Ovis aries: one gene and its partners. The protein of the gene in region 2 purifies or fractionates together with the protein of the main gene of each other region. This does not show direct contact. Links are inferred from orthologs where the notes say so. Each region holds a gene or a part of one and is shown on either strand. Other genes may lie near its edges.

What was found. Proteins that work in one complex are often made in the same cells at the same time.
Region 1: the proteins of SLMAP (region 2) and PDCD10 purify together in Homo sapiens (affinity purification with mass spectrometry; 3 studies listed by BioGRID and IntAct, counting the BioPlex papers as one, with this or other methods). This does not show direct contact. The link is inferred for Ovis aries from reciprocal best matches to the Homo sapiens genes SLMAP and PDCD10.
Region 3: the proteins of SLMAP (region 2) and FGFR1OP2 purify together in Homo sapiens (affinity purification with mass spectrometry; 3 studies listed by BioGRID and IntAct, with this or other methods). This does not show direct contact. The link is inferred for Ovis aries from reciprocal best matches to the Homo sapiens genes SLMAP and FGFR1OP2.

The regions. Positions count from the first base shown.
Region 1 is NC_056054.1:220,417,941-220,426,227, forward strand, and holds the end of PDCD10 (programmed cell death protein 10), read left to right. Parts: intron 1-3,463; coding exon 3,464-3,542; intron 3,543-3,847; coding exon 3,848-3,930; intron 3,931-5,996; coding exon of another isoform or gene 5,997-6,177; exon of another isoform or gene 6,178-7,076; intron 7,077-7,124; coding exon 7,125-7,206; 3' UTR 7,207-7,606; downstream 7,607-8,287. UniProt on the Homo sapiens protein: Promotes cell proliferation. Modulates apoptotic pathways. Increases mitogen-activated protein kinase activity and STK26 activity. Important for cell migration, and for normal structure and assembly of the Golgi complex.
Region 2 is NC_056072.1:43,482,047-43,490,333, forward strand, and holds part of SLMAP (sarcolemmal membrane-associated protein), read right to left. Parts: intron 7,732-8,287; exon of another isoform or gene 7,625-7,731; intron 7,042-7,624; coding exon 6,946-7,041; intron 6,681-6,945; coding exon 6,609-6,680; intron 5,381-6,608; coding exon 5,240-5,380; intron 4,293-5,239; coding exon 4,155-4,292; intron 3,200-4,154; coding exon 3,031-3,199; intron 2,942-3,030; coding exon 2,891-2,941; intron 2,401-2,890; coding exon 2,350-2,400; intron 1-2,349. UniProt on the Homo sapiens protein: Associates with the striatin-interacting phosphatase and kinase (STRIPAK) core complex, forming the extended (SIKE1:SLMAP)STRIPAK complex.
Region 3 is NC_056056.1:188,452,290-188,460,576, forward strand, and holds part of FGFR1OP2 (FGFR1 oncogene partner 2), read right to left. Parts: intron 6,249-8,287; 5' UTR 6,247-6,248; coding exon 6,112-6,246; intron 3,562-6,111; coding exon 3,444-3,561; intron 2,372-3,443; coding exon 2,229-2,371; intron 1-2,228. UniProt on the Homo sapiens protein: May be involved in wound healing pathway.

The DNA.
Region 1 (8,287 bases), on a different chromosome or scaffold from region 2:
GGTCTTGTCGCTCATTTATGGGGCAATAATAGTATTTCAGTTCTATTTTCTGGAGTGTGCTTCGCACAACTGAATTAAGATTACTGGCAATTAAAATTTATTTTGTATCCATTTTAGGAGGGATAACTTGCCATGGAAATTTTGTTGATAACATGTATTTTTTTTAAGACTGAAATTTAACCATGTGTGTCATTAGCATGGATAGCTATGGCTATTTGTATCACTGACACATATAGATAAATTTTGATATATATTGTTACTGCTATTAATTGTTTGACAAATTGGTAGATAAAATTGAGCCAAAATAAAAGTACAGCATATTGTGCAGTTATTATTTTACTTTCTCATACTTAAGGTGAATATCCTCTTCTCTCATTATTTTAACAATACTTTTCAGTAAACCTGTATCAAATACTTAACTGTCTTAGCACTGTACAAAATGCTGTGTGAGAAAGAGCTCTTGCCAGATGACAAATGTCTAGATATTTTTGTATGTACCAGCAGACCTAGGTTTGACTTGCCAACAGTTTGCTTTGTGACCTTGGTAAGTTGCTTAGCTTCTGTGACTCTAGTTTCTGCCTGTGAAGATGAGGGTAACAGTTGTGAATTGAAAATGGTATACATAGTGCCTAGCACAGAATCTAGCATCACAGCACATAAAGCATTGTGAAATAAGATTAGTGTTTTCCCTCTATGAAGTTGAATAGGAAAAATGATATGATTAATGTTTTTGTTTGACTACATTTGAGCTTATGCAAATACTTTATAAAATTAGTTCTTAGGATACTTTTCAATTAATGAATAACTAGTGAAAACTGGATTTAATAGTCCAGAAATCTCTGCATTTATCTCTTTATCCTTATCTATATTTGAATATTCATAGGTGAGGGTTTGTAAAGGTTGGTTTTGATGATGGCCTCAAAATAGCTTTTCCAGGGTTTCCAGTCTGGAGCAGACTGAACATACAGAATAGGAATTTCCTTCCTGCAGTATGTTTGTATAAACATAATTACACAGATTTGGGTGACAGAAGTTCTACTGTCCTATGCAAGTTTTTTGTAAGATGTATTACATTTCTTCTGATGCCTCTTGCCCTTTTCAGCATGTGTTCCCCAAATTTGCCCCACTAAATACATGCAAGTTGCTAAAATTCCTTCCTACTCTCTCCATCCTATATGTCTCTTATCGCAGAATTCATAAACTCCAAACTCTGCATGTGCTTAGTTGCTCCGTTGTGTCCATCTCTTTGTGACCCCATAGACTGTAGCGTGACAGGCTCCTCTGTCCATGGGGATTCTCCAGACAAGAATACTGGAGTCTGTTGCCATGCACTTCTCCAGGGGATCTTCCCAACCCAGGGATGCACTACAATTGTTTTACCCCTCAGGTTTTCCTCAGTTTTTTAATTTGTTTAATTGTCTGAAGTATTGTGTGTGTGTGTGTGTGTGTGTGTGTGTGTGTGTGCACGCGCATGTGCGCTGGTATTTTCTCTTCAGGACAGAAACCCTCAGATTGTTAACTACCTTCTCTGGCGCAAACCTTAGTGCTGTAAATGAAGATGCTGTTCTGTGTACATACAGGTCATCCAATATTTGACATAAATTGCTGCAGATTATCTTAGAGAAGGCCAGGCCTAGGGACAGACTATCTTGGTCTTTATAAAGCTCTGTGGCAAACAGTGGATCAAAGCTCAACTGTAGGTTCTGAGTTCCCAAACAGTAGTTTCCAAACCTGGTTCATCAGCAGAATCATGTGGGAAGCTTTTTTTCTCTTTTGAAGTACAGATTCCCAATAGTCCATAAAGTACACTACAAAATATGGTTGTCTATAAAGAGCTGTTTGATTACTGTAATTTGCTTTATTGTATTCCTTTTGAATAAGCTTACTTCAGACCCACAGGGGTTTGAAGAATCTTCCATATCCAGAGATTGGACATTTTAAAATTTGTTGAAATTGTCATTTTTCTCACATAATAGGATGGTTGAACGACACTGTCATTAAGCAGTAGGGGGCTTAATATCTGTCACAGCAATACAGGGATACAGCTTTCTTGAAAACATAAAGGAACAGTTAATGTAACTAAAAATTGTTATTACTAGAGGTCAAAAAAAAAGAGTGGACAGGTATAATTTCTATGTAAACTTACTGTCCTTTTTGAATATCTAATGTTTTAATGTTTCAGCCTGTTACCGATGTGTGACTTACAAGAGGAAATAAGGAAATATTTATTGAAATATTGAATTAGAAGGTCATTACTTCTGCAGAATAAGCTAAAATGCTTTTTTACACCAAAAGCTTTTATATTTGTAATTTTTAGAATTTCCATATGCTTATTTACTAAAAATAAACTGTGAAACAGAAAAATCTGGACATGGAGCTTTTGGGTTTTCTTTAAATAGTTTAGCTGAAATGTTTTAAGTATGAAATAACTAAAATCTGACATTTGTGATTAAAAGGTAGGTAATAAAAGGTTTGTGTTTTGGGTAGAATAGATTGATGTTTTACTAATTCATGTCTTTACACTTGCATTGCATTTGAACAGCAAAATTTGTAGCAGTTAACAGCTAAGAGAATGGATATGAAAAAGAGAAGATTTGTCTTAGAGACTGAGAGGCTGTTTGAGAATGCAGAATTACAATAAGTTCAGTTTGCTAGAATATTGCTATGAAGTTAGAACACAGAAATTGAAAAGGGCATAGATAGAAAAGATGAGAATTTTTAAAAATGATACAGGGACAGGAAGAAAAGTCAACTCAAATGAGAATGATTGATTTCTTCTCTCTTTAGAAAGGGGAGAAAAATGCTGATGCATATGTAGTGAAAGGATGATTGTTGGAAAGGTTAAGGTAAAAGAATATTCTGATATTGTCTCTCCCAGAAATATAAATATATTTCCTAAGGAAAATAGTGACAGCAAAGATTTGAAAGAGGAGACTATGTGGTTGTTAGAGAGGAGGCTAGATAAATGTGTCTTAAGGGAGAATAGCTACATCTGAGGAGGAAATATTTTGAACATCGAAACTATCAGGTCTATAATTTGAAGTGTTTTAAATGCAGGAGTGAATTACATGTAATAGCAAAATTTCATATAATTGTTCATGAGATAGCAAAAGTGAATAATACAGTCGCTCAAATTTACCTACATGAAAAAGGAGAAGTCAAAACAGGAAAAGATGAGAGTCAGAGGTCTCTTATAAATTTGAGTAGGTAATGCTGAATGAAATGAAAATGTTTGGGGAAAGTTGATGTTAATTGTGTAGTGTTTCCTCAGCAGTGCAAGAGTAGCTGGGATCACAGGAGGATACAGGCTAAATCCCCCACTTAACCAGCCAGTCAAATATTTGGCTTGATACAGTGTTCATATGGTAATTAAGTATAGTGATTCTTAAACATAGCTGTGTATAGAGACTTCTTTCAATGAAACTGACTTTAAGAAGATTCTTTTTTTTTCCTCACCCAACAGGGATATAGCTAGTGCAATAAAAGAACTTCTTGATACAGTAAACAATGTCTTCAAGAAATATCAATACCAGAACCGCAGGGTAAGTTTAGTAGAAACCTTACAAGCTGCCACCTTAGATGTTGGTTTATATCTAGTTGTTTCATTAAATAATAAGACTGTTGAATTATTGAAAAATGGCTTTGTATCGTTAATGACTGGATGTGTCCTTGAATTTGAATGTGCTGTTAAATGTGTATTTAAGTGAATACTCCTAAAACTGATTATCTATAATATAAGGTATATTCTTAATTCTGTGTAATCTTCTGTCTCTGACTTTGGCCTTTGTGTTACTTTGCTTTTCTTACTTGTTTTTTATTTTTTTATTATTATTTTTGATGTCTGTAGGCACTCGAACACCAAAAGAAAGAATTCGTAAAGTACTCTAAAAGTTTCAGTGATACTCTGAAAACCTATTTTAAGGATGGCAAGTAAGTATTATCATTTATCCCCCTTTTAAAATTATAAAATTATGTGGCTTTCTATAATACTGAAATCATATATATTTAACTCTTTTACTATATTGTTAAAGCCAACTACTAAGATAGACTGTTACAAATGCCTTTCAAAGGGGGTGTTTGATAATCCAGCCATGACTGCAGTTTGGAGCTGCAGTTGCAGACTTTCTCTGAAAAGGGCCAGATGGCGGATATTTTAACTTGGTGAGCTTGTGGCAGCTCGAGCACTTCACCTCTGCTGCTGTAGTGCAGAAGCAGCTGTCGACAGTATGGAAACAAGTGAGCATTTTTGTGGCTGTGGCTGTGTTCTAATAAAAACTTACTTTATAGACACTGAATTGAATAATTTTCAACTGTCTCATAATATTATTGTGATTTTTTAAAAATTTTTACTGTTTAAAAATGTAGAAGTATCCCTAGCTTTCAGGCCGTACAGTAGTGAGATTTGGCTTACTGGGCTACTTTACCAACCCCTGAAGCAGTGATTCTCAAACTTTACTAGCCTCAGAGTCATCTGGAGGCTTGTTATAGACAAAATATTTTTGGGTCCTACCCAGAGTTTCTGATTCTGTCAGTCTGGGGTGGGCCCAGGAAGTAACATTTCTAAGAAATTTCTAGATGATATGGATGCTACAGGTCTGTTAAGAACTGTTATACTATAGTTAAAACGGTGGTTCTCAATCCATTTTGCACATTAAAATCATTTATATTCAATGTTTTAAAATCCCAGTGCCTTGACCCCACCTTCAGAGCTTCTGATTCCATTGGCTTGAGTGGGGCCAGGGTTCAGGTGTTTTTTAAAAGTACTTCATGTGTTTTTAAAGGGCCACAAAAAGTGTCCTAGAAGAGAGGCTTTCTGTAAGACAGAAAGTATACTAAAAAGGTAAATTAGATATTTTAAAATTTACATACACTTAGCTACAGAACGTTCTAGAAAACCAAGAAATACTGTGTGATTTATGTATAATACACATGTACATACAATGTATAAGCTGATCCGAAGGCTTTGTCTTCTGCAGCCTCATACTTTATAGAGAATTCTTTGTACCTCAAATAGAATTTTGTGGACAGGACCATTTTCTATCAGTGCTTGAAGCAGAAGAATAAATATGATTATTTCAGCTATCGTTGGCAGGGAGCTTTAACATCCTGTCCCACCACTGACATTTTAAGATCCCAATATCCATGTCAGACTATTACAGTATTATTGTAGTAATATTAAAAAGTAATAAAATATATTAGAATGGTATAATGATTTTAAAAGTCATTTTTAATAGTTCAAACAGATTGAAATATTTCCATTTTATTATAAATTAAAGATATTGAGCTAAATATTATTAATGATTTTGTGTTGTTTAATACTGCTACTCAGATTGTGTAAAGGAAAATGAACCTTGTTGATTTAATTTAATAAGCTGGCAGGTGTGTTCTGAAAATAAACTTATACCTGTTTTTCCTTGATCTCCTCTGCTAAGTCCAAATAACCAAAAAGCACATTAAAAGAATAATTTGCATTAAGGAGATTATTTATGATACTGATTAATTAAGAACAACATGGGATAAGGACATTAAAAGGTAGTAATTCATTTAGAGCATAACTTTGATTAATGTAAAATTATTTACTCTCATCCCTGTTTGTACAGTAGAATCCCTTGGGTTCAGTTTTTAAAAATCTTTGTCCTTGGTCCCAAAGTTATTTTTAACAGCTTAAACAGGCATATGGATTATTCAGGCTCCCTGCTACTACTTTTTCTCCATTCAGCAGCTTCTTTAATTTACCATTATTTGCATATGAATAACATACCACGTTTTCTCCCTGTGTCCTCAAAGTTGAAAATTATTAATAGAGCCTGATCTTTAAGCCATTTTTCAATAGGAGGATGAATTTGCATTGATTCATTTAATTTTTCCTAGGCCCCCTTTGTTGAGGAATGCCTAAGATAAAGATATTGTCAGCCGTTCATATCCACAGATTCCAAATCCCTTTGTTATTGTTTAGTCGCTCAGTGTCCAACTATTTTGCCCCCCATGGACTGTAGCCCTCCAGACTCCTCTGTCCATGGGATTTCCCAAGCCAGAATGCTGGAGTGGGTAGCCTTCTCCCCAGAAGAAGGGGATCTTCCCAACCCAGACATCAAGCCAGCGTCTCCTGCATTGCAGGTGGGTTCTTTACCACTGAGCCACCTGGGAAACTCCAAATGCCTGGATTCAACCAGTTGAAAATTTTTGGAGAAAAAAATTCCAGAAAGTTTCATGGGATTTATATTGTACTTCAGCTATTTACATTGCATTTGCACTATATTAGGAATAAGTAATCTAGAGATAATTTAAAGTATACTGGAGGATGTGCCTAGGTTATGTGCAAACATTACACCATTTTATATAAGGGACTTGAGCATCCACAGATTCTGGTTTCTGAGGGAACTCCTGGAACCAGTCCTGTGATACTGAGGGGTGATTGTACAAGCTTTAGCTATGCTCCTGAGAAACTGATAAGGCCACACAGGGGGACTAGCATCAGCTCTGTGCTCCAGATCACATGAGGATGGGCTGATAGAAAATGTGGTTCAGAATGAAGTAATTTTTAAGAACATATCTTTACACATTGTCAACTCTTAAATATTGAAACCACATGATTATTTTGTTTTAAAAGTACATTAATTCTAAAAGTAATTCAGTTAATTTTTTCTTGAAGGAAGGTAAGGATAGGGATGAATCAGATTCAAAGTAATGAACCTTTTCCCAAGCATCATCCCATTGATATACAAATTTTGAGACTGAATATGGTATTTTAGCAGGTCTTATTTTGATAACTTCTGTGAAACCACAGCTGGAGACTGCATTCTAATCCTCCTCTTTGGCCAGTTACATGTTCGACCTATAAAATGAATTCTGGTTGTTGAGGCACCACCCATCATTAGCAGCCCACCAACACCTTATTGCCAGCCAGGACCACTAGGGGGCAGTAACTCCTAGATAGTTTCCAATGATGCAGGACACTTCCAAGCTGGCATAAAAGTTGCTACTCAGTACTAATTTGCCTTTGTTGTTATGTTCCTAAATAGATTTTATTGCTGCTGCTAGTTGGGCATTTTAAGTATAAATATTTTTAAAGGATTAATTTTTTGGATAAAATTAATACTCTTTTCTCTTTTTTTTTGAAACAGGGCAATAAATGTGTTCATAAGTGCCAACCGACTAATTCATCAAACCAACTTGATACTTCAGACCTTCAAAACTGTGGCCTGAGAGTTGTATATGTTAAGAGATGTACTTCTCAGTGGCAGTATTGGACTGCCTTTATCTGTAAATTTTAAAGTTTGACTGTATAAATTATCAGTCCCTCCTGAAGGGATCTAATAATCCAGGATGTTGAATGGGATTATTGCCATCTTACACCATATTTTTGTAAAATGTAGCTTAATCATAATCTCACACTGAAGATTTTGCATCACTTTTGCTATTATCATTCTTTTAAGAATTATAAGCCAAAAGAATTTACGCCTTAATGTGTCATTATATAACATTCCTTAAAAGAATTGTAAATATTGGTGTTTGTTTCTGACATTTTAACTTGAAAGCGATATGCTGCAAGATAATGTATTTAACAATATTTGGTGGCAAATATTCAATAAATAGTTTACATCTGTTAAACATTTCTTTACTTGAAAAAATGCATATATATATGTGAATATATATATGATCAGAAGACCAAGACGACTTGGTGTAATGTCTAAAGAACTTCTAAGGGGAGCTTATTAGCAGTTTATCAGATAATAAAGCAACAAGAATTCCTATTTTTTTGTCCTTAATCACTCTGGGCAAAAAGTAGTTGATGGAGATATTTTTGTTAGTTACTATATTTGAGGTACTGAGTATTTTTCCAACCTTTGTTTTAAGAGACTTATGAGAAGCAGATGGCAGTTTGTAGTGTCTTCACATTCTACTGCCATTTTTGAGCTCTGTGACAATGTAAGATTAAGTCTTTCTGGTATGCTGGGCCCTAATAAGCTTTGCGCCTTTTTTCCATAAATAGCCACAACTAATAGTAATTTGAAGCTATACCAATGCTAGTTGGTTTGAAATTGTCATGAGTGTTAATAATATTATATACACTCTTTAAATATGTACAGTTTTGTTTCACCATAGAGAAATTCTAAGGAAATTATGTATCAAGTATTCATGTTAAAGTGATTTCATTTTTCAATTATGATAAAATAAAGGAAAAAATCAGAATTTGTTTATCTTTTATAAAGATTTAAATGTTAAACTAATTTCTGTTGATGATATAAATTTTTTGCTATAATGCAATTTAGTTATGCTTTAAAAT
Region 2 (8,287 bases):
AAAATTTTAAATTATGTATGTGGCACTCAGAATAGTTCTATTAAACAGCACTTCTCTAAATACCATCTAAGATATATTCAAAACATGCTTACTAGGTAACATTTTAAAAATTATAGTACAAAGTTGTGCTTATAACAGCTACTTTAGATTTAAGTAATTTTAAAAATGAGTTTACTGGAGAAGTATTATTAATCTTAACTTCTCCAGACATGTTTGAAATATTCTCTTACAACTAAACTTGGTTCTCCTTCTGCTGCTTAAAGAGTAATTTTGGTTACAATTATATCTAATAGCATATTATAACTACAGACTTTGACAATATTTGAATACTTGATAATCAGTCTCTTATTATATCATAAATGATTCAGAATAGACTCATCTTATCCATAATCTACTCTGTAACTAAATATGAAGCTTCTGTGCTTATCCAGATACTTACTACTCAGGGCTTCCCTGGTGGTGCAGAGGTTAAAGCGTCTGCCTGCAATGTGGGAAGCTGGGTTTGATCCCTGGGTCGGGAAGATCCCCTGGAGAAGGAAATAGCAACCCACTCCAATATTCTCACCTGGAGAATCCCACGGACAGAGGAGCTTGGTGGGCTACAGTCAACAGGTCGCAAAGAGTCGGACACGACTGAGCGACTTCACTTTCACTTTTCTTTAAAGATATTCTATTAGTCACTCACACACTACTCAATTAAGCACTAACATCTGCAAGGGAAAAATAATCATTGCCAGGAGTACCCTAAGGTATCCAAAATATTAATATTTTATTCAGTTTTAAATCAAGGAGTTGTCTACAGCTTTTCTCATTTAAATAAACTAGAACTGGCAAAAAATTGTTAAGCCATAATTTTACAACCCTAAATAGCATAATGATGGTTCAGTGTACATAAAAAGATTATTAACTAAATAGAATGCTCCCAGCTTGAATTAACACTAGCTTTATCAACAAATACATGTTCTAGTCAAAAGGGTGATGGATTTGAATGAGAAGTGTATATGCCAGAAAGAGAAAAAAGAGCAAAATAACAACAACAGAAAATATAAATTCATTTAAGAATGAGAAGCTTTTAGAAGATGAAGATAAAGTCTTTTTACATATGTTTACTAAATATACTTTAATAATAATGGTGCATGAACATAAACTACACCTTTAAAAAGTCTCAAATTGAAACTCAAACTGAAATTTTATAGTGTCAATGTTATTTCACAAAGCATATATAAAATAGTCACATAATAATGACTGATGAAACTTTTTTGAATTTCAAGACTTATTATACATGGAATATTAGCTCTTGATCTTGTACCTCACATATACATGGTTACCTGAGCCTATTATTCCACTTCCTGATTAAAAACAAACCAACCAAACCAAAACAAACCAAAAAAGCACTTCCTAACTTTATCAGAGTTTAGATGCCGCCCAAGAATTATAAAGTTATCCCCTGATACATGGAAAAACTATTTAGTATGAAGTTTCGGGTACTGACCTTGGCATCTTCTATATATAAACACTGAGTTGAGAGGCACATATATTTGTAAACACAGAAAATAATTTTATGCATTTTGTACTCTAAGGATCTAATGCAGAATCTGGCATATAGCTGGTGCTCAGTTAATGTTGGATGAATGGGGAGGGAGGACAAATCTTCATGACTGCAGGAATACAGAAACCATTGAGTAGAAAACTCATGTTGCAGTAGGAAAACCAACAGTGGTTATACATTTGTGGCAAGAGATAACCCAAGCTATCCAGAAAGAAGGATCAGATATCAAGAACAAAAAGATAATTTTTCAGATGGCATACATGACTGACTCCCTTTTCTCTGATTGATAAAACAGACAGATAAAGAGAGCAGTTTCGATGACACATCCAAACACTCACTGGACATTTTTTTTTCTTTCTATTTTTGTTTCTTTTTTGGACTTTTAAGTAAACTCTTGGCCAGGAAGGGGGCAGGGCACAAATATTAAAAAACAGGGGCCAATTATCCCCAGAAAGCAGTACTTGATGAAAGAAAATGGTGGTATCGTCTTTGAAAATATAGTAGAGGGCAGGGGAAGCTATACTAGGTTATATAAACCAACACTAAAGTTGAACATTATTAAAATCTTACTATTTCAATAACTGAAATTTCCATATAACAAGGGACATCTAATCATAGCTCACAGAATTAAGAAATAGAAAATAAAAGGAAGCTTGACTTTTAAAAGATGGGATTTAACAGTCTATGAACAGCATGCTTTTCACGCCAAACACTTAAAATCTAAAATCCCTGACTTCTCTATCCTGCTTAAATAGTAAAAGGATATCATAAAAGAAAAATATTTAAGTTTTTTACACTACCTTTTTCTGTGCTCCCATTTATTTTAGGTAAGAAGTCATCAACTTGTATCCCTAGGATTAAGACAGTGTATCATTGCCTGATCAAAAAAAGTATTACTTTAAAACTGGTCTCAAGTGTAACCATGGCATTTTGTATTCCTACTGACATTAAGACTGACTGAACAGTTTAAATTTATTTTTACAAGAAGGGTTCAACTTGCCATTTTCTATCATCTTAGCGAAAAGCCTAGAACTGCTTAGTAACCTTTCGATAAACCTCAAAAGAAAAAGGATTCTGCTGTTCATGTGTTTTTCTTATTTAAATATCTCTAAGCAGACCATCTCAGATGTATAAATTTCATTCATTTCAAAGACTACACAATGGTGCCCACTGGTGGCAATCAAGCATATTTTTAAAGGAAATTTTCTGAAAGAGGGTAGATACTTTACACCTAATATGTAAAACATCCCTCTTAAAGAAAGCAAGTACACAATGTGAGATAGTAAACAAAAATTTAATGATAAAAATTCAGCTTTAAGTAAGAAATCTGGTGACACCTACCTAAGCTGCTGCATTCTTTAAGAGTTTTCTCTTGAAGATGTTCTAACCGTACTGTAAATAAAAGTCCAAGAAAAAGATATTTCACAGATAAAAAGAAAGAAAAAATTAAATCAGATCAATTTCTGGATTAGCTAACTTACCTTGTAAAGCTGTTAGCCTTTCATTGGTAAAGTCATTATCAGCTTGCAAAGCTTCTATTTTTGCTTGGAGCTCCTGTTCTTTTTCTTCCATTTCATCTATCTTATGTTGTAATTCTTTTTTCTCAGCTTGTCCCTTCTGTTGGATTTCTTCTTGTTTTCCCTCTGCTATCTGTTGAAAATGAAAAAAAAAAATCCAGCTATTTAATAAAATCTGACCTTGTTTTAAGATGTCTAAAACAGGACTCCTTTTATTCATGTAAATGATGTCAAAAGTGATATGCACTGTGTCATCCCTCTGTATCAACTGAGAGAGAAAAACTTGTAGCAAGCAAACAAACACAATACATACATAGATTATAAGGGTCAAAATGAAAACCTCATTTTTCAAGATAGAAATATAGTTTTCCCTGAAATTACTATTGTTTCAATTAGCTTTTAAGTTCTACAGTGTAGCTTATTCTGAAATTTTAAACAAAATTACTTTTAGCTAAAGGAATCAAGCACTTTTTTAAATGACTTCTTTTTAACAAGTCTAATAGTTAAAGCTATATAGGTTAACCATTCACACGAATGGGAGGTATGTTCTGGTCTTCTATTAACAAATGGGTATCTTCTGGCCACTCAATCTATGGTGTGAATTACATAAAGACGGGTCTTCACAAACTCAGTTCTAACATTTTACATGACCAAGACGGCGTTACGTGTGATCTGGTCTGTCCTTATCCTAAATATCCTATAGCTACAGGGAGCTGCAGTCCACGCATAGGCTATGGCCTCCTGGAAGGAATCACGCGAAAGTTCTCTCTAGGTTTGCTCCAGCACTAACTGAATTTGGGACACCTTAAAGAAAAGCAGGCCCTAGTTTTCCAAAAGTCTGAGTATCTTGGGTTTTGGTGATTCTTATCTATTTAATATATTTTTAAACTCATTATTTACTTTCATCCAAAGGAAATATGTCAACTTTTACAAACTTTTAATTATCACTGGTAATGGGATTTGGGTTAAACGGCAACTGATTTATACTATAAATTCATCAACAACTATTCAGCAATATCTAAATTCTTAAGCTATCCAGCATGTTAGGGATGATTAATTTCTATATTTCCAGTTTGAGAAATACATACCTTTAATTTATCAGATAAATCTTTAATCTCATTAACTGCACCATTATATTTATTGGCTAATTCTCTTAATTCTTCCTGAGTCCGTTCATTCATTTCTTTCAGATGGGTACATTCATCTTCAGTATTACTAAGACTTCGCTGTAATTCAAGTTTACAGATAATTAATTTAGAATAAATGCACATTCTAAATTCAATTTATACAAACTATAATTCTATGGACTGTTCTAAATCAGAATCTACTCTTGACTTTATATAAGGTTGAACTAAGTAACAGAAGAATTTCAATCTACCTCCGGTAGATGCTAAAACAGAAAATACAAAGGACTTGGAAAAACGAAACGTGGAAGGAGAGGCTGATCCTTCATATAATCATACTTTTTAAAGGTCACAGGGTATGAGTTTTGGTCTTGAAAATATTTTAAGCCTATCACTTCTTAAAAGCACATTTAATAATGTGCACACACAATCAACAAAATTAGAGGACAATTAGCATTCTTCTTTCTTTGCACATCATACTAATGATCTGACCATGAATCAGTCACTTTGAGACTGGGCTTCCTTGGTGGCTCAGACGGTAAAGTATCTGCCTGTGATGCGGGAGACCCAGGTTTGATCCTGGGGTTGGGAAGATCCCCTGGAGAAGCAAACAGTAACCCTCTCCAGGCACAATTCTCCTCTCTGGAGGAGGGGGAAGGTAAGAATAGTGGTGGAGCTCTCTGCCTTAAGACTGACTATCCTCAATCGGAAGAAAAACAAAATTATATGAAAGGAGGTCAATTCCCTGGCACATATCATGGTCCATTGTGTGGAGGTTGAAATCTAACCAAAGTGGAAATAGTAAAATTCCCTGGTTAGGCTTTTATTTCCTTAATCATTGACTAGGGACCATAAGTATCAGAGCTCATGTGGCTATGCTAAGAACTCCTAAAATGAAAATAGCATACTGTTCCTTCCCACCAGATAAGACAGGAAAAACTTCCTAGCTACATACTAATACCCAAGTTTGAAATGTCTTGAAATGCTAGCACTTTTAGGCTAAAACTGTAAAATCATAGTCTTGGTTAGTGTCTGTTAAGTTGAAATACCTCAACTTCCGACAGTTTTCTAACCACATCAATTTTCTCCTGAAGAACCCGCCTCAGGGACTCTTTGGCTGTAGTCTCATAGTTGTGTTTATCCTCCTGTAACGCTATAAGTTCCTTCCGTAAACTATCTTCTGTTTGATTCTAGGATTAAAAATATTTATAGTTATTTTTTTAAAGCATTTACCATTTGAAAAAAATAACACATTGTGATGTTCTCTGAGTTCTATATTAAGGTACCTCCAAACAGAAATTATGTCAACTCTGTATTAACTGAAGCTGTATATAAAAGTTGCATTAGTAAATTATGCTCTCACAAGCATATTAGCTCATACTTTCAAGAGAAAAAAGTCAAAGCTCACTGAAAATTTCTCCAAGTATACAAAATGAATGAACTATTCTATTAATACTTGCCATATTCTCTGAAAGCCACAATATTTACACTTATGGGCAAAAATAATCTCTTAACTTCTAAAGGGTGTCAAGCATTTTAACACAATAACTAAGCCAAAAGGAATAAGAGTACCCTGAGGAAAAAGCTGATCCCAAGTCTAAGGGAAGAGATGTACAAGATGAGTCTGGACTACCTTGTCTGATATGATAGCAGGAAGCTATTATCCAAGTCTGATAGGGTACTACCAGAAGAACTCAGGTGCCAACCTGAAGAAGTTCCCTGAATAAGGCCTCCCAAAGATGGGAGAACTGGGAATCAACAAGAAAAACAAAACAGGTTTAACCCATGCTATGTATTTAAATCTTATATGCAGGAAAAAAATACTTAATTGGTCATTCTTTGGTAGATGAAAAGGAGCCAAAACATCATTTTGAAATCCAGTAAATAAAGAGAGAAAAATCACTCATCCTTTTCTTCCTAAAGAAAATGTTCTTTAGGAAAATAAAATGGCTTATGAGAGAAGTTTCTCTTTATAGAAGTAATGCCTCTAGTAAATGAAGGAAAGATAGAATTACAAAGAATGAATATAGGAAAGGATAATCAAAGATCACTAGTATCTCACTACCACTCTGGTATTCTGGCCTGGAGAATTCCATGGACTGTATAAATTTATGGTGTAGAGGAGGAGCAAGAAGGTTTAAGTATCATTCCAGACTGAGGGAAATTGTACAGGGTGAAAGACCCAGTTTTTCCAACAAATATCAACTATGATGGAAAAAAGAGAATTCTATATGGGTATTCACTATATACAGTTTTTTCTACTTACATGTATGTGTGAAATTTCATGTAATGGTAAAAGATTTTTAAAATGGTGAAAATGTATAGATGTTTTTGAATGTATTCAAAATAACAATCAAACAAATGAAGCTACATAAAAACCAATGCATTTTTCTTTAGGTACTTGAGATGGATACTTACTTTGGAGCACGCTTGCAATTGGTTTCCCATAACCTCTAACCGTGATAAGAGTCTATCTTCATCTATTAAAGCCTGTTAAAGAAAAATGAAATATAAATAAAATCCCAGAGTAGTTATAAAATAACATATATCAAAAAGCTTGCTACTGCCAAAAAAAAGACCTAAAAATCACAAAGTTGACCAACATTCACTTTAAAATGCTAAATTTTCAATATTTGTTCATTAAGAAATAACTATGCCTTTGTCTGCTACATAATTTTAGTTTCAGTTTAATAACCATCTAAGGGATACTGAGCTGTGCTTAAACGCTTTATGAGTATAAAGGCAACTGGAATACCTGCCAACTGGTATCTGAAGCCTCTTGGGTAATGGCTAGCAGCCTCTGAAGCGTGGCTAACTTCTGTTCCAACATCTGTTCCCGATGTAAGGCCTCCTAATATTATAAATCACAAAAGAAATTCTAATAACCTCAGCACAATTCCTTTGACAAATAATCAATTATTAGCACATTCTGAAAACATTCTTGTTTCACATCCTACAGTGTATCTTGCTTTCAAACCTGATAAATCTACTTAGTATAATATATTTAGCCCACATCATTTTAACCCAGATGGTGCAGTGGTAAAGAATCCACCTGACAAGGCAGAAGCTGCAGGAAACACGGGTTCAATCCCTGGGTCAGGAAGATCCTCTGGAGAAGGAAATGGCAACCCATTCCAGTATCCTTGCCTGGAAAATCCCATGGTTAGAGGAGCCTGGCAGGCTAGCGTCCATGGAGTTGCAAAGAATAGGACGCAACTGAGTGCGCACAGGCACATACGCGCGCGCGCGCATGCACACACACACACACACACACACACACACACAGATCATTTTAGCCTATTTGTTGAGCTGTACTGTAAGTAGAGCTGTTAGGGGTGCTCTCGCTGCAACTTCCTCTGTAACAGGAAACAGGTCATCTGTTTTTGCTTCTTTAATTGTAATTCACAAGAATGAGTTTAAAAGAACAAAACCTAGTGCTTCCTTCGGCAGCACATATACTAAAATTGGAACGATACAGAGAAGATTAGCATGGCCCCTGTGCAAGGATGACACGCAAATTCGTGAAGTGTTCCATATTTTTAAGAAAGACCATGAGAAAATACTTGAGGAGATAATAGTTGAAACCTTCCCTAAAATGGGGAAGGAAATAATCACCCAAGTCCAAGAAACCCAGAGAGTACCAAACAGGATAAATCCAAGGCGAAACACCCCAAGACACATATTAATCAAATTAACAAAGATCAAACAGAAAGAACAAATATTAAAAGCAGCAAGGGAAAAACAAATAACACACAAGGGGATTCTCATAGGGATAACAGCTGATCTTTCAGCAGAAACTCTTCAGGCCAGGAGGGAATGGCAAGACATACTTAAAGTGATGAAAGAAAATAACCTACAGCCCAGATTACTGTACCCAGCAAGGATCTCATGCAAATGTGAAGGAGAAATCAAAAGCTTTACAGACAAGCAAAAGCTGAGAGAATTCAGTACCACCAAACCAGCTCTCCAATAAATGCTAAAGGATATTCTCTAGACAGGAAACACAAAAGGGTGTATAAACTCAAACCCAAAACAATAAAGTAAATGGCAACGGGATCATACTTATCAATAATTACCTTAAACGTAAATGGGTTGAA
Region 3 (8,287 bases), on a different chromosome or scaffold from region 2:
GCGAGTTAGCCAACTGTTGGAAATGTTTGTTTTTTTAAGATTTCCAAAAAGGTAGTAGTTCAAAAATAATGTAAAAATGAGTGTTTGAATGAAAATGAGTTCTCCTCAAACTTTTTATTGGCTTTTAAATGTGTGCTCAAAAACTTCTAGGTGAGGGCAGAATTCTGTTACAGTAGTCTCAACAGAGCCTCTTACTCTAAAATGCTGTTAAGTGTAACTCTGTGTTTTACCCAGAAATGTGTTATAAAATTATTTTTGCGTTTAGGTGTATCAGAGCACTAGTTCTTAAACATATTCTGGAAGCTCATACTTCTCGTGCAAGTTTCTCTGCTCACCCATTTCTGCTTGTTAAGCCCCCAAATTAATTCGAGGCTAGATTTAGATGGATTTGCTAGCTTTCCTTGCCACTTTCCCAGATTCTCCTCTTGAGAACTAAACTTGCTTCCTCTAGTACTCCAGTAATAATCCAGGTCTCTATTTAGGATTCATCACATCCTACCTTATGTTAGATAATCATGTTTGTATCTGTATCTCCCAATGCATTGAAAGGTCCTATGGTAGAATAATAAAACTTAGTCATTCATCTCATTATGATAACTAAGCCAGTGCAAGTGTTAATAAATATTTGTTTGAATCAAAGCATCTCCTTTTTGGGAAAAATCAAAATCACAAACATTAATATGTATTAGTTAGAATTAATAACAAGTAACCAAACTGTTATTTCATGGAAGGCAAGAATCAGCACTTAGAAGAAGAATTTCATCTGCATAATGAAAAAGAATGGCTTACAGCTATCTTAAGATATGTTTAACTTGCTAATTAATAAAACAGCTGTAATGAATGGTAAAATCTAATGTGTTTTAGAAAACATTTGCTTCTGACATAGCTGCTACCACAAGGGACTAGTTACCTTCAGTATCTTATTCTTAAGCACTTGCTTGCCAGAGTATTCACTGTAGATCTTAAAAAATTTGTTAGGTTGTTAAACACAAGGGCCTTTTGGAATGTCTCAAGAACATACTTATTTTACCAATAATTTTAAGTCAGTTCATATTTGTACCTTAAAAAAACCTCTTAAATTACATATTCAAAATAAAATGTTTTTATAATGATATTAACAATAGATACATTTTATACTCAAAAGATTGCCACTTGACTATCCAAGGTTCCTTTTGGTTAGGAGATAAATAGCATAATTAGATAATATTAAAACTACATTTGTTAACTTATTATTATACTGTTTGACACAAGAGCTATTACTAATAGCTTCCTTAATATGGAAAGTTGAATTTACATGTTAAAGCAATTTACTAGATATTTATTTTTAGTAGAATTAATAATAAAAAATACCTAAAAGCACCAAGATGGAATAAATATTTTAAAGAATCTAAAAAGTGTTTTAATAATTAAGAAAGATAAAAATACATTATAACAGTCAATACTTCTTAAATAACACTCATTATAACTAATAAAAAATAGCTCATCATTATCCAATAGAGATAATGGCCTTGTAATCACAATCTATTCTAAAAATCAGTTTAAAATAAAATGTAAATGGTAAAGGACTATGCTATCTTTTCACAGCAGCTGCTAGCAAACACAGGGATCACAACTAGTAAGATGAACAGCAGAAACAACGTTGATTTCTAGCCAGTTCAGCTCTGTCTCTAAAAATGTTGTTGAGTGGTATGTGATGGAGGATGGGATGGGTGGGAAGGCAATATATATAGTATATTGTTTCTTTTCCTCCCCCCACCCCTTCGTGCTTCCATTAATAATCAGGAGTATCTATAGTCTGGATGAATTAGCCTCATTCAGAAGACAGTCTTAAAAACAAATCTAACTTTAGCTGTTTTGGGGTTTTTAAAAAGATTTTGGGGCATTTAATTTTCACTTTTGCAACATATACCAATATACAAGTTAGAAGAAATATTTCTTTGAAGCAGGTAACATTATAATTTTGAATAATTTGAATTGAATAGACTTACCTTTATTTCCCAAATAATGTTTACTTTTTAATACATATTTTAAGCTACTAGGGAAGAATGGAAGTTTAAAGACTAAATCAAACAGAAAATGACACATAACATGAAAAAAATAAGGAAAAGAAGAAAATGTCAAAAAGAGAAATATTCAATATCATGTAAGACACCTGTGATTTTTTAAAAATCTGAACACAAGTTAATTGATTGTTCTTTTTTCAAATTATATTTACAGAATGGGATTACCTTAGTGTGTTGCTCTTTTAACTTCATTATTATTCCTGGATCATCTTTTTTGCTAGCCATTAGCAATCTAAACATTTGCTCTCGATACTTGCTCATTATAAGTTCCAAGGCAGATTGATGTTCTTCCAGGGATGTACGTAATTCTATCAAGAGTAACAGTATATTTTATTTAAACTTGAGTTTAAAATGCACAATGTATTCTCTTCCACATCATATTTTTTAAAAAGCAACTTATAAAGGGGGTATTTCATAAAGAAAATATGAGGTACAAAAATCTAGCCATATGGAAATAAAGGACACCAAATGGAGTCCTTTATTAGTTTTCAAAATAACCATTTTAAGCTCATTTTTTTGAGAATCATTTTAACAACTACTGAACAACAACTGAGGGTCAGATCATGCTCTATATTAGGAATACCAAAAGGCCATAAAGTTCAGAGTTTAGTGGAGAAAACAAAACATAAATAATTATAACACAGTGTGGTAAGTGCAGAGTGGAACTCTACCCTAAAACATATAAACATATAAAAAGTCTGTGAGGAAAAATTGGTGGCGGCTTCACAGAAGTATAGTAGTGAGATGAATGTACATTCCTTCAGTTGAAAAATAAAGAACAGGGCAGTCTAAGCAGGGAGGCATGAAAGTGGATGGTATGTTCAGGAACCTGTTCAGGGTGGCAAGAGCAAAGGTCTCATGGAGAACGGAGGGATGGGAAGAATACGAAAAAGAAGGCTTAGAGTCAACTTTGAAGGCCTCTGGATAAGGAAACAGTACAGTGATGGTTCTTAAGCAAAAGAACAACATGACCAGATATGTTTTTGTAAAATCAGTCTGATGACTGTGCTGAAGATGGACTGGAGCGGAAAGAGACTGAAATCAAGGAGACCAATGAGAATACTTCAGGCCGGAGACTATAAACACCTAAGCAAGGGGCTGCAGAGAATGAAACTGAGTTATTTCACATGTAATAATTTAAGTGGTACAAATGGATATTGAAGGTGAGAGCCTAAGATGATTCCAAGTAAGGTAGACAAGCATTCATATGCAGGATAGGATAAAGAGAAATATATGTAATTGAAGCATAATGGACTAGCGAAAGGAACTTTAACTGGCTATTTTCCCATTTAAAAAATATTAACTGATCCAAATTCAATAGTGCAATTGGCGATTAAAGCTCACTTTTGAGATGCTATAATCAGTGATAATATAGCTTGCCTTTGTTCTCTTGTTGCAGTTCTCTGATCTGTCTGTTTTCTTGCTGGATTCCCATAACTAATGTGGACCGTGGCCGATGTCTTGCAACTTCATTAAGTTCTTGAATTTCTTCTTGATACTAATGAAAAGATTTTTTTCAAGACATAAGAGAATATATTTGAAAATACGTATCTTATATATGTGTATATATGTGTGTATATTTCATATTTCACAGCTCAACAATAAAAAGAAAAAGAACCCGATTAAAAAATGGGCAAATGACTAAGTTCTGAAGATGCAATGGACATCATGGTGTTTAAAGTTAACAATACTATATTATATATTTGGAATTTGACAAGAGAATACATCTTAAATATTCTCACCACATACAGTAATTACATAATTATGTGAGGTGACAGAAGTATTAACTAACCTCATGATTAGTAGGTAATGATTCCACAATATATACATGTGTATTGTATATCTTAAACTTACACCATGTTGTACATCAAGTATATCTCAATAAAGCTGAAAAAAATGGGCAAAGGATTTGAAGAGACATTTCTCTAAAGATGATACACAAATGGTCAATAAACACATGAAAGATACTTAACATCATTAGTCATTAAGGAAACACAGCTCAATGTAACAAGGGGATAGCACATGACAGCCACTAGGATGACCTTCAAGTATTAAAACAAGTAATAATAATGAGTTTAACAGAGGATGTGCAGAAATTGCTATCACCTATATATTGTTGATGGGAATGTAAAATGACATAGCTGTTTTGGAAAACAGATAGGCAGATCCCCAAAAAGTTAAACACAGAGGTATAAGACCCTTCTATTCTACAGCTAGGTATATACCCAAGAAAACTGAAAACAGATGTCCACATAGAAATGTATATACAAGTATTCACAGCAGTATTATACATAACTGCCCCAGAAGAAAAACAATCCAAATGTTCATCAACCAATGAATAGAAAAACACAAGGTGCTATATCCTTACAATGAATATTATTAACATTTAGCAATAAAAAGGAATGAAGTACTGATACATAATAGAACATAGATGAAACTGAAAACTTAAAAAACCAGTCACAGTCAGTCACATATGGTACTATTTATTCCGTTCATACGATACGTTTAAAACAGGCAAACCTATAGACTGACAGATTCATGGTTGCCAGGAACCAGGGAAAGGGAGACTGAGGGAGCAGCTTTATGGGTAATGAAGTGTTCTAAAATTAACAGTGATTATGGTTGCAGAGCATGTGAATATACTAAAATTCAATCAACTGCACCCTTCAAAAGGGTGAACTGTAGGGGACTTCCTTGGTGGCCCAGTGGTTAAAACTCCATGCTTCCAGCAGATGTGGGTTCGTTTTGTGGTTGGGGAACTAAGATCCAGCATGCCATGTGGTGCAGCCAAAAAAATTTTTAAACAGGGTAAATTTTATGGTATGGTTCTTAACTCTGGTTGTCAACCCCCCCGCCTTTTTTACAACTCAGTACAAGACATGTATGTTCACTGGAATGCATGAGTCAAGCTAGACAGGGAGGTATGTAACGTGTTCAGGGCAGCAGAACTGCAAAACAAAATATGGGGCTGGCCAAAAAGTTTAGGCTTTCCCATAAGATGTCATGGAAAAGTCCACATGAACTTTTCGGCTAATCCAGTAGGTAAACTTGCTTCACTTTTTCAGCAACTTTGTTAAAATCAGTACCCCCAGGTTGCTGTCTCCTTTTACAAAAGAGATGTGCTTCATGAGACTAAGCTATAAATATAATTTTCCTACAGTGATTTCCATCATAGTTTCAGAGATGCTATAGTTCTCTTAAAGTTAAAATCTTAACTTAAAGTTAAAATCAGAAGAGGGCTTAAAATAGTAGTTCAACTTCACAGCCCACTGGAAAGCTCTTATACACAATGGTAAGGATAAGAAGAAGTGAAGCCCTGTTCATTCCTTAAGGTAGCAAGTATAAACAAATAGGGCTTCTCAGGTGGCTCAGTGGTGAAGAATCCACCTGCCAATGCAGGAAATGCAAGTTCAATTCCTGGGTTGGGAAGATCCCCTGGAGTAGGAAATGGCAACCCACTCCAGTATTCTTGCCTAGAAAATCCCACAGACAGAGGAGCCTGGTGGGTTATAGTCTATGGTGTCACAAAGAGTTGGACACGACTGAGCACGCACACACACACACAAATGCAGTAACTGCAAAAGGTGAAAAGAAGATATTGCTTTGCATCATCTTCAAAAACTATTTTATTATTAAACAGCACCACCAAAATATTCTCATTAAAATATTTCTACATTATAAAAATAGGAGACAGAACAAAGAATGTGTCACTATTAGTAAAAGATATTATCTTGCCTTTGTCAAATGTATTTAGACCTAAAAAAATTAATGTACTTTCCAAACTCAAATCTGCATCACTGTAGGAAATTAAGTGATCAAATCTATGGTTTTAGAAGATATATATATACATACATACATGTCAGTTGACCTTGACAAAATTATATTTCAATCTAAAGTAAACTAAGACATATAAGTCAACTACTTTTAAACTTCAGAAAACATTAAAAATAAAATACTAGTTAAGCAGAAGTTTGTAATAAAAGCAACACATAAATGTCAGTGACGGTCTTTTAAAAATAGAATCAACAGGGGGAAAAAAAAATCAAACCTGCTTCATAGCCTCTACTCGCTTATTGAGAGCAGTGGTTTGCTCAATCAAAGATTCTGCTGCATCGTCGTGGTCTCTCAACCTTTCAACAAGGGCTTTAGCGTCAGCAAGTGCCTTCTCAATGGTGCAACTCATTTCTAAAGGAATACACAGGGTTAAAAACGAAAAACAGATTCAAAAGAAAGCTGGCATATCAATCTTATTCTAGTTCCACTTTAACACACATTATGCTTAAGCTATATTTGTTACTGAATCGTTCACTGTCTCAGGATGAAAACCATCTAAGAACACATGTGGTTTTGATCCTGTTAAGATGGAACAAACTTGAAAGTGATTTTATAATATTCAAGAAATTATACACAACATATATAAATATATATAATTATATACTACATATATACATATATGTGTTTATATATACACATTATATATATATGTATGTGTGTGTATATATATATATGTATGTATGTATGTATGTATGTATATATATATACACACATAGGGCTTCCCTGGTGGCTCAGAGTTTAAAGCGTCTGCCTCCAGTGCGGGAGACCTGGGTTGGGAAGATCCCCTGGAGAAAGAAATGGCAACCCACTCCAGTATTCTTGCCTGGAGAATCCCATGGACTGAGGAGCCTGGTGGGCTGCAGTCCCCGGAGTCACAAAGAGTCGGACACGACTGAGTGACTTTACTTACTTTACATATATATATATATACATATATACATGTATATATGTATATATATATATATATATATAAGTTTGAGAACAAAATCAGAACGTATTTAAAACACCCTGAATATACAGTGGGGACAAAAGTGTACATTCACTAAATACATTTTATGTTATATAGACTCCTCTATTCATAGGATTCTTCAGGCAAGAATAGTGGAGTGGGTTGCCATTCCCTTCTGCAGGGGACCTTCTCAACCTAGGGATCAAACCCATGTCTCCCGCGGCTCCCACATTGTAGGTGGATTCTTCAGCGCACTGAAGAACTGATGCTTTTGAACTGTGGTGTTAGAGAAGACTCTTGACTTGGACTGCAAGGTGATCAAATCAGTCAATCCTGAATATTCACTGGAAGGACTGATGCTGAAGTTGAAAACTCCAATACTTTGGCCACCTGATGGGAAGAAGTGACTCACTGGAAAAGACCCTGATGCTGGGAAACATTGAAGGCAGGAGAAGGGGACAACAGAGGATGAGATGGTTGGATGGCATCACCGACTCGATGGACGTGAGTTTGAGCAAGCTCCGGGAGTTGGTGATGGACAGAGAAGCCTGGCAGCTGCAGTCCACGGGGTTGCAAAGAGTCGGACAAGACTGAGCAACTGAACTGAATGTTATATAGAAATTGCACTCTTCGTGAGGGCAATCCCTATCTTGCCATTTGTGAAAAAAGGTCATTTTATTATTTTGTATTCTGCAGTCAGTGACTGTCAGGTCTCCGACCATATGACCCCTCCTAGCCTCCGCTTGGTCAGGTGACCTCAGACACCATCCACAAACGTACACTACTAACCAGGCAAAGCGGCCTCTACGTGTCATGCTACACTAAAGGATCAACCTCCTTCTGGAGGAACTTCAGCTTCTCATAGGAAAATTCTCAGTAATTCTAACTCTCGCACTTTCCTTAGTAAATGGCAAAGGAAGTGCTAACTTAGAGCAACACTGGCCATTACGGGAAGCTTCTGATACGTTAAAGTCAGTGACTCAAATGTATAAAAGAGGCTGAAAGGCCAGGAGACAAAACATAACACAGCCAACAGTTAGCTTCTTCAACTGATACGCCGAGACCTCAAAACAAAATTTTTATTTTAAAATCTCTCAAAAACTTTAACATTCTGACACTGATCACTCTTGAATTTTTCTCTTTCTACTGTTTTGCCTTATTTTCTGTTAATATACGAGCCACCCTTTACGATTTTCTCAAAAAATAAAATTACTTTGTAATGTTTCTATGTCATAAGCCAAATCTATAGCAATTAAATTAAAACTCATGTGTAGAACAAAGTTAAGGGCTATAATTAAGGATTTTCACCAAGTTTAGGAAGACAGAATATAGGTCTTTTTAAGATACTACTACATGGGACTCGTTAGGTTAATTGTTAGCCCCTCAGATACAGAAAAATGCAGCAAGAGATTTAAATAACCCAACTGTGTAACATTTTAAA